Xenopus tropicalis: one gene and its partner. The protein of the gene in region 2 interacts with the protein of the main gene of each other region in a pairwise test. Links are inferred from orthologs where the notes say so. Each region holds a gene or a part of one and is shown on either strand. Other genes may lie near its edges.

Evidence for each region. The genes of interacting proteins can lie anywhere in the genome.
Region 1: the proteins of klhl2 (region 2) and bcam interact in binary tests that used the Homo sapiens proteins (3 or more experiments, as listed by UniProt). The two-hybrid records come from large-scale screens. The link is inferred for Xenopus tropicalis from reciprocal best matches to the Homo sapiens genes KLHL2 and BCAM.

The regions. Positions count from the first base shown.
Region 1 is NC_030683.2:109,109,004-109,112,659, reverse strand, and holds part of bcam (basal cell adhesion molecule), read left to right. Parts: intron 1-249; coding exon 250-374; intron 375-590; coding exon 591-807; intron 808-2,120; coding exon 2,121-2,191; intron 2,192-2,379; coding exon 2,380-2,476; intron 2,477-2,886; coding exon 2,887-3,069; intron 3,070-3,656. UniProt on the Homo sapiens protein: Transmembrane glycoprotein that functions as both a receptor and an adhesion molecule playing a crucial role in cell adhesion, motility, migration and invasion.
Region 2 is NC_030677.2:51,312,451-51,316,106, forward strand, and holds part of klhl2 (kelch-like protein 2), read right to left. Parts: intron 3,120-3,656; coding exon 3,003-3,119; intron 1,464-3,002; coding exon 1,314-1,463; intron 464-1,313; coding exon 346-463; intron 1-345. UniProt on the Homo sapiens protein: Substrate-specific adapter of a BCR (BTB-CUL3-RBX1) E3 ubiquitin ligase complex that mediates the ubiquitination of target proteins, such as NPTXR, WNK1, WNK3 and WNK4, leading most often to their proteasomal degradation.

The DNA of each region.
Region 1 (3,656 bases), on a different chromosome or scaffold from region 2:
AGTGGAAAACTAAAAAAAACACTTTGGGGGAAGAACTAATAGAAAAACTGTCAATAAGATCATTTTATTTGGCCAGGTTGCTTATGAAACTCCCACATTTATGTATTTGCCCTTCTATTCACTACAAACAACCCTAATGTTTTATTTGTTTGTTTTTTTTTACAACTACCTGAAGAGTATTAATTTCTCTTTCATTAAAACTTTTTAATTTAATTTTAATTAAACTAGTATTAAACCTTTCCCCCACAGGATGTTTCTGTGCGGTGACTGTTAATGTCCCTTCACCAATTGACGCTGAGATTGGGGATCAAGTGAACATCCAGTGTAAGCCATCGGCCGCCGGGTCACCCAAGTACAGTGTGGAATGGTTTGTGGTGAGTAATGGACAAATGACCTTTGGTGAGAGACCCCTATATCACAGTGAGAATTAATACTCTATTAGAGCAATGTAAAAAATAGATAATAAAATCATAGTCCATAGTACCATGGTCCTCTAGCCTGTACTGTCTAAATATTTATTTACTAACAGTTCCCTACTATGGGTTAACATGGGGCCTTTGGGTAAAATGTCCCTGCTATATACCATGCAGACAGATCAGTATGGGGACCCCCAGCGCATCGCATCATACAGCAATGGAAGAAGTATCACAGATCCAGGAACACAATACAGTGACAGAGTGTCGGTCAACGCTGAGCTCAGCCTGGTAATCAATGATGTACGTGTAGAGGACGAAAGGAGCTTTCTCTGCAAAGTGAATGCGGGGAGTGAAGGCACAGCTAAGGGTAGTGCTGACATGAAAGTGTACGGTGAGTTTAATAAGATGTAGATACATTTCCTTTCCTTTCATAGTAATATAATAACCATCAGATGGAGGCAAACTGAATGTACAGTGTTCTGGGGCCTACTTGCCCTTTCCAATGTCTGCCTAGCATTCTTGTGAATACACTATCTAGTGTCTGTCCTGGGGCCCAATGGACTGGAGGGCAACCAATATAGGGAAGCAGGGCATGATGATGCTAGGGCAGGTCCTAGCCCCCCCCCCCTTGTCTCCTAATGAAAGGTTCATCTGGGGTCTGATTGGTCAGCAGTACTTCGGGTAGAAGGATATTGGGGGTGGGCCTTAGTAGCAGACTCCCCACAGCAGGTTATTGAAGTCGCAGTGGCAGGAGTGGCTTGATTCTGAGCCACAGGGGTAATTAAAATGGGCAGTTGGCAAGGTAGGGGTAAATGGTAGGCCTGGAGTTCTGGGGAAGGTGCATAACTTTGGATAGGGCCTTGGACAGTAGTCTAGAAACAGGCTCCAGGCCTGGTTATGTAGGTCTTGTTATCTTGTAGTACAAACAATGTTGTTACAATAAGTTATAATGTTATATATATATTTTCTTCCCAACCTGTTGTCTGGTTTTGTGTGTATGGAGTAAGGTTGGGCAGGGGGTGGGTACTGCAAGCTCAATGCTGCACTCGTCATGTATTCTGTGGCTGGCCAATATTCTTGTATAAAATTACCAAGAATATCAAATGTCTATCCAAATCTGGATAGACATCTGTGGCCTGTTACTACTCTCTCTGTTGTTTAAAATACTTTGCAGAGCCTGCTTACTCTATCCACTCTATCTTACTCTGTCCTACATTTTGGGGTCTGCCTGCTCATTCTCTCCTGTGCCTGGCCAACATACTTACTTGTTCTGTCCATTGGCCAATTACTCGCTCTTTCCAATTTCTAACCAACAACAGTCTGGGACCATCTATCCAACACCTGTACAACATTCTGTGGTCTACATTTTTATTATATCTGTCTAACACTGTGGAGTTCTTTATCTCTCTCTCTCTAGCCAATACCTGTCCATTACCCTGAAGTTTTTTTTAATCACTGTATTCAATTCCTGCCAACTTATTCACACTGTCCAATGGCATTGCAGTATTCTTTGTGTCCAAAATTCTATTTCTATTCTCATTTTAATGTAACAACGACTTAATTAGTTATAAAGTTGCAAAATTCAACCAAATCAGTGGGTGCCTAGTGGGATAATTGCAAGGTTTATGGAAGTTTTGTAAAGGAAGTGATTTTTGGGATATTCAGATCTTATTCTAAGTCCTCTTTTCTTCTTACCTCTCTCAGATCCACCAGAAATGCCAGAAGTCTCCTTGACTGCAGGAATATTGTCAGTCACTGAATCGGATGCAGTGGAGGTGAGTGACATCTACTTCTTGTGATTTTATTCGATATCATTTAGTCCTTTACTTTCAAGCAATTTATGTTTCTGATATTTTAATAATAATTTATAATAGTTTATACTTCTCTTTGGAGGCTTCACACACCTATCAGTGCTGTATGTCTTCACATGTTCAGTTCCTTTCTTATAACTCTTCTTGATTAGATTGGAACCTGTATCGGTCGGAATGCATATCCTGCTCCAACTATTGAGTGGTACAAGGACAAGCAATCCCTAAACCCACCAAAAAGCCCAAACAAGGGTATGTGCAAAGGTCTTCAGACTTCTTAGCTTCTTACAGATTTCTTGGTGATTACAAACACTTGTGTTGTTCATGTCATGATGTAATAAATAAAAAAAAAAATAATTAGTTAAACTTTTGTTGGACCCCTATGGGGGGCCGGGCTGCCATTTTAGGAGCCTATATGTAATAAAAAAAAGTTGGGTTCAGTAACCCATTGAAACCACTCAGCAAATTGCCTTTAGTAGTTACCTGTTTGAATGCAAACATCTGTTAGGTTGCTACAGGTTACTAAACCTAGTGAAAACTGTGAGTAACAAGGATATTAGTTAAAGGTGCCATAGAGAGAGAGAGATAAGACACTGGTGTGTGAGAATAATCTGAGCATGTCTAATAATGAACCTTGTCTTTTTCTGCATTTGCTACGGCAGATCTGTACATGACCTCTCGCACCGTCAGGGAAGCCTCTGGTTTGTTTACGGTCTCCAGCACTCTCTTCTTAAGGCCAACGAAGCAAGATGCCGATTCTCAGTTTTCCTGTAGAGTTGTATATCCTGTACCCGGGGGATCTTTCAGCTTTATGGAATCTTATTCCTTTAATCTGACATTGCACTGTGAGTGAGGCCACTGCTTTATGTTACCTTTATTCCTTTTTTCCTTGCATGCCTTCCAAAAACAAATAATTCTCTTTGTATTTCTTCACCCTCCCTTTGGGTTAAAACAGACAGTAGTGTACTTTGTGTTAAAGAGCTATAACTTTGTATTACAATTTAAGGAATGTATATGCCCTATTCATTCTGTTCATAGCACTTAGAACCAAAATAGTTTGAACGTTGTCTCTTTGTGTGTGGTATCTTCCAACAGCTGTTGGGAATCCCTTCTGTGTGTTTGCATTCTGGTGTCTGGAATATACACCTTAAAGAGAAAGTAAAAATGCCTTGGCAATACTCTTGCAGAGCTGTAAAAGTGCAAGTGCTAGTGCTGGCCAATCATGGTCCCTGCAATAAAGAGAGCAATAAAGTAGAGCTTATGTGATCTTGCTTGACCTGCTTATTTCAGCATAGTCCCGTGCTTTAAATACCCATTCTTTTTCCACTGTGTCACAAATTAACTATGCATTGGAAACCACAGAGATAAAAATTAGCTTTTTTATTATTGTCTAAATATTCTGTTTTTATAGTACCTAAACAAAAATGTACAA
Region 2 (3,656 bases):
AAATCCACTGCTCACTGTACACAAAATGCACACTTGAGCATGTCAGATGTATTACAGTCCTGTCAGTGCTCACACAAAAGTATCGAAAGGGGGACAAATTGCCATTCTCTCTGCTAGTGTGTGATGTAAAAGATATGCAGAATGGGTAAGTAATAAAGGAAACCTTAAATGAAATAAAGAAATACAAGTTCACCAAGACAAGAATGACATTTATACAATATTTTTAGCTAAACAAGAAACAAAATGTCTTATCACAATGCCAATAACCATTTTGTATAAGCCTCATATTAATTCAGTTTTGTATTTGGATTGGTTAACAGTGGAGTTGATTATGTTGAAACATACCTGATCTGCATCTCCTTGATGGCAGTTCAGCCAACTGGTGCCACTGCTCCTCTTTGAAATCATAGCATTCCACACTGCGTATAGCCTTAGGAGCCTGACCTCCAACAACTACCATTAGCTGAAAAGAAACCACATTACTGAACTCTGATATTGAAATTTACAGTATGCACATAATCTATAGACATTCACAAAATTCAGCCTTTCAGTGTAGATATATGAAAAAAATTAAAAAGTCATGAATTGCTAGAGAATCATAATGAAGATGTCACCTTAAACCCATCAAGGCTTTGGGCCTACCATTCCCTACGTCATTATCACTTTAGTAATGTGTAAACTGAAAGCAAAAGACTGTGTCCATTTTGGAACACCCTGTACAGGCTACCTCCTAATCTTAATATGTAGCAGGGTCGCTGATGTTATAAGGCGGTTGAGAAACTCTCTTCAGGTGGCATCAGCCCACAAGTTACCAGGGGCGGCAAAAAGCTATCTTCGGATTTGGCCGAACCCCTTGTGAAAGCTTTGGCTGAATACCAAACCTAATTTGCATATGCAAATTAGGATAATTAAGGGTAAAGAGATTCACACGTGCAGTGTATGGTGAAAATTTTTCAAAACTTCAAAATGTGACAAAATATCATGTGATTTAAAGGCTTTGGTTTGGCCAGGAGCATGATTCGGCAGAATACTGCTGAAAAAGCTGAATCTTGGCTGAAACCCGAACCTTATCCTGGATTCAGTGTATCCCTAAAAGAGAGGAAATTGCAATTGCACTCTCTGCACTAGCGATGAAGCAAGGAACCTGCTGCTTATATTAGATTTTGTTATCAGGACTTTCACTTGACGCACAAAATCACTCTCTATCCTATATTTTTTAATGAACTTGAACTACACTAACTAGTGCCTGCTAAAGATAATGGTTAGAGGTTTATCTATAAAATAAAAAAACAAAACATATGAAATAATGTTACCTTTGGCATGCTGACGGGTGTCCTTTGTCTGGTTCGGGCACTTTTTATCAATGTGCGTTGATCACCTGGGAGTAGGTGATACTTCATAGCTTCAATGAGGTAATCCTTGCAGGCACTGCTGTTTTTCACCAGTGTCTCTTCTTCAACCCTCTATAAAAACAATACCACAAACTGCATTATAGCAAATATTAACACAGTCCTTATTCTCCATTATTGCCTATTTTTTCATTTTATCTATTAAGACATGCACAAACTATGAACCATTTAAGGTAGAGAAATGACATCTTTCTAGTCAGTGGTAAGTAACTGTTGTAAAAGGTACTTCCATGCAATCTTACCTCAAGGGTTTGCGTTTGAGAATACACACAAGGTAAGGGTGAAGACACACTGAGCTACTTAGTAGCAGCTACTTGTCATGGCTACTAAACGCCAGAAAATTGGCAATACTAAGAATTGCTAAAACACACGTAGAGACTGTTATCAGTAAATGATCAGCATCATCTATTTTAGTTGCTGCAACAAGTAGCTGCTACTGGTAGCTCTGTGTGTCTTCACCCTAAGACAGACAACTGAACTGCATAAAAATGTAATGTGCACACCCACAGCAAAGAGAACTCTGCTGCAAACACAGCTTACAAAACATAAAATGATCTTTGTTTCCATGGGAATATAATCACTGAATAGGACATAAAAAATACACACAGTACAATGCAATAATGCAGCAAGGAAGTTACAAGATGATTTTTCTCTGTCACAGAAGGCATTTCTTGCTGTGCCATATTTCTGTCTTTGTTTTGGAATTATGAATTATAAAAAAAATAACACCGTTATATGTATAATATACATCAAGGAAGTTAAAATGACCGATGAATTTGAGGAAGTCACTCTATAGAGTGGTGGTCCTACTCCTTGGGTGAGGCTAAAGTTGGCCATACACATTCAGATTTAAGCTGCCGACTCAAGTCCTTCGGCAGCTTATCTGCCTGTGTATGGCGGACCCCTAATGGTCCTACCTGACCAAAATCTGGCTGAAAAGGTGTCGATAAGGCAGGTTTTTTTTTTCCTTCGGATCGGCTCACTGATGTAGTTCTCACTCCAACAGCTCCTATACCTGTTGTTGTAATAATAGGCCAAGTGAATTAGCACAATATTGCCCACCTTAGGTGGGCATATTGGGAGAAAACTCAGCTCATTTGGCAACCTCACCAAATGAGCGGATCCTTAAGGTGTATGACCACCTTTAGGGAGGGGAGATTTCTCCTCATCTCTGTACATAATCTTACCTCTACAATCATCTTACCTCTACAATCAGACGATAACTAGGTGGAGTTCAGATTTATCAGCTTATGGCAAGTTTCAAGAAGGACCCACTTTACTAAAAGGCTTGAAAGTTTGTGAATGCTTTAAAATGTTCTACGTGTGACCTAAAACATCATCCGATTTTCAAACAAGTCCTAAGTTTTTTCTGCAGGGGTGCCCGGCGCAACCAAGTAACACCACTGATCTCGGATATCATTTTATATATACAGATGAGAGATATATCCTTTAAATTTATATTGAGAACCAGAAAGCTCTAAGAAATAACAAAAAATAAATAAAAAGCAGAAAACCATAAAATATGAGTAAATGCGTTTAGAACATTTAAGTATCCAGGAAGCAGCAGTACATGCAACAGGATACAGTACCTACCTGTACAAGATAGTCCCGGGATAGCAGCGGGAGACGTACATGTTCCATGAGGTGAGACATATGCTCCTGCCGAACTTCTGTGTCATGATTTACCCAAACAATCACTGCTTCAAACACCTTTAGAGAATATACAATCAGTTAAAGCACCTCTGAAATTGCAATGCTTTCCATTACAGTTATGGAACAAGAGGCATTGACATGTCAGTCCTTGGTATATTAAAATATGAATATTAAAATAGTTCCAAATCCCACAATTCCCTGCACAGGTGATGTCAATAAGGAATGCATTGTGGGCTATGTAGTTCCTGCATGACGTCAATAAGCTGTGGAGATGTTGTTACAATTTGTAACATCAGCGTTTCAGTCCCTCCTCCCTTGCCAGGATTTCAAATGATACAGAAAGAGAACTGTTTTGCAGCTTAATTTCAGCATATAAAATTTACATTCATTCATGTTTTGAAGGAACAAATTTTGGTTTCAGAAGCCGGAGCTCCCCTATAAGTAAAAAAAAAATAAAAAAATGTAGCAATAATAATATTCTTATAGCCTCATATGAGAGCTTGATAGCTGCAAAAGAGAAATGCAAGTAATTCAGATATTAAAGATGCAGTTCCCCTTAAAAGGGTGGTTCACCTTTAAGTGAATATTTAGTAT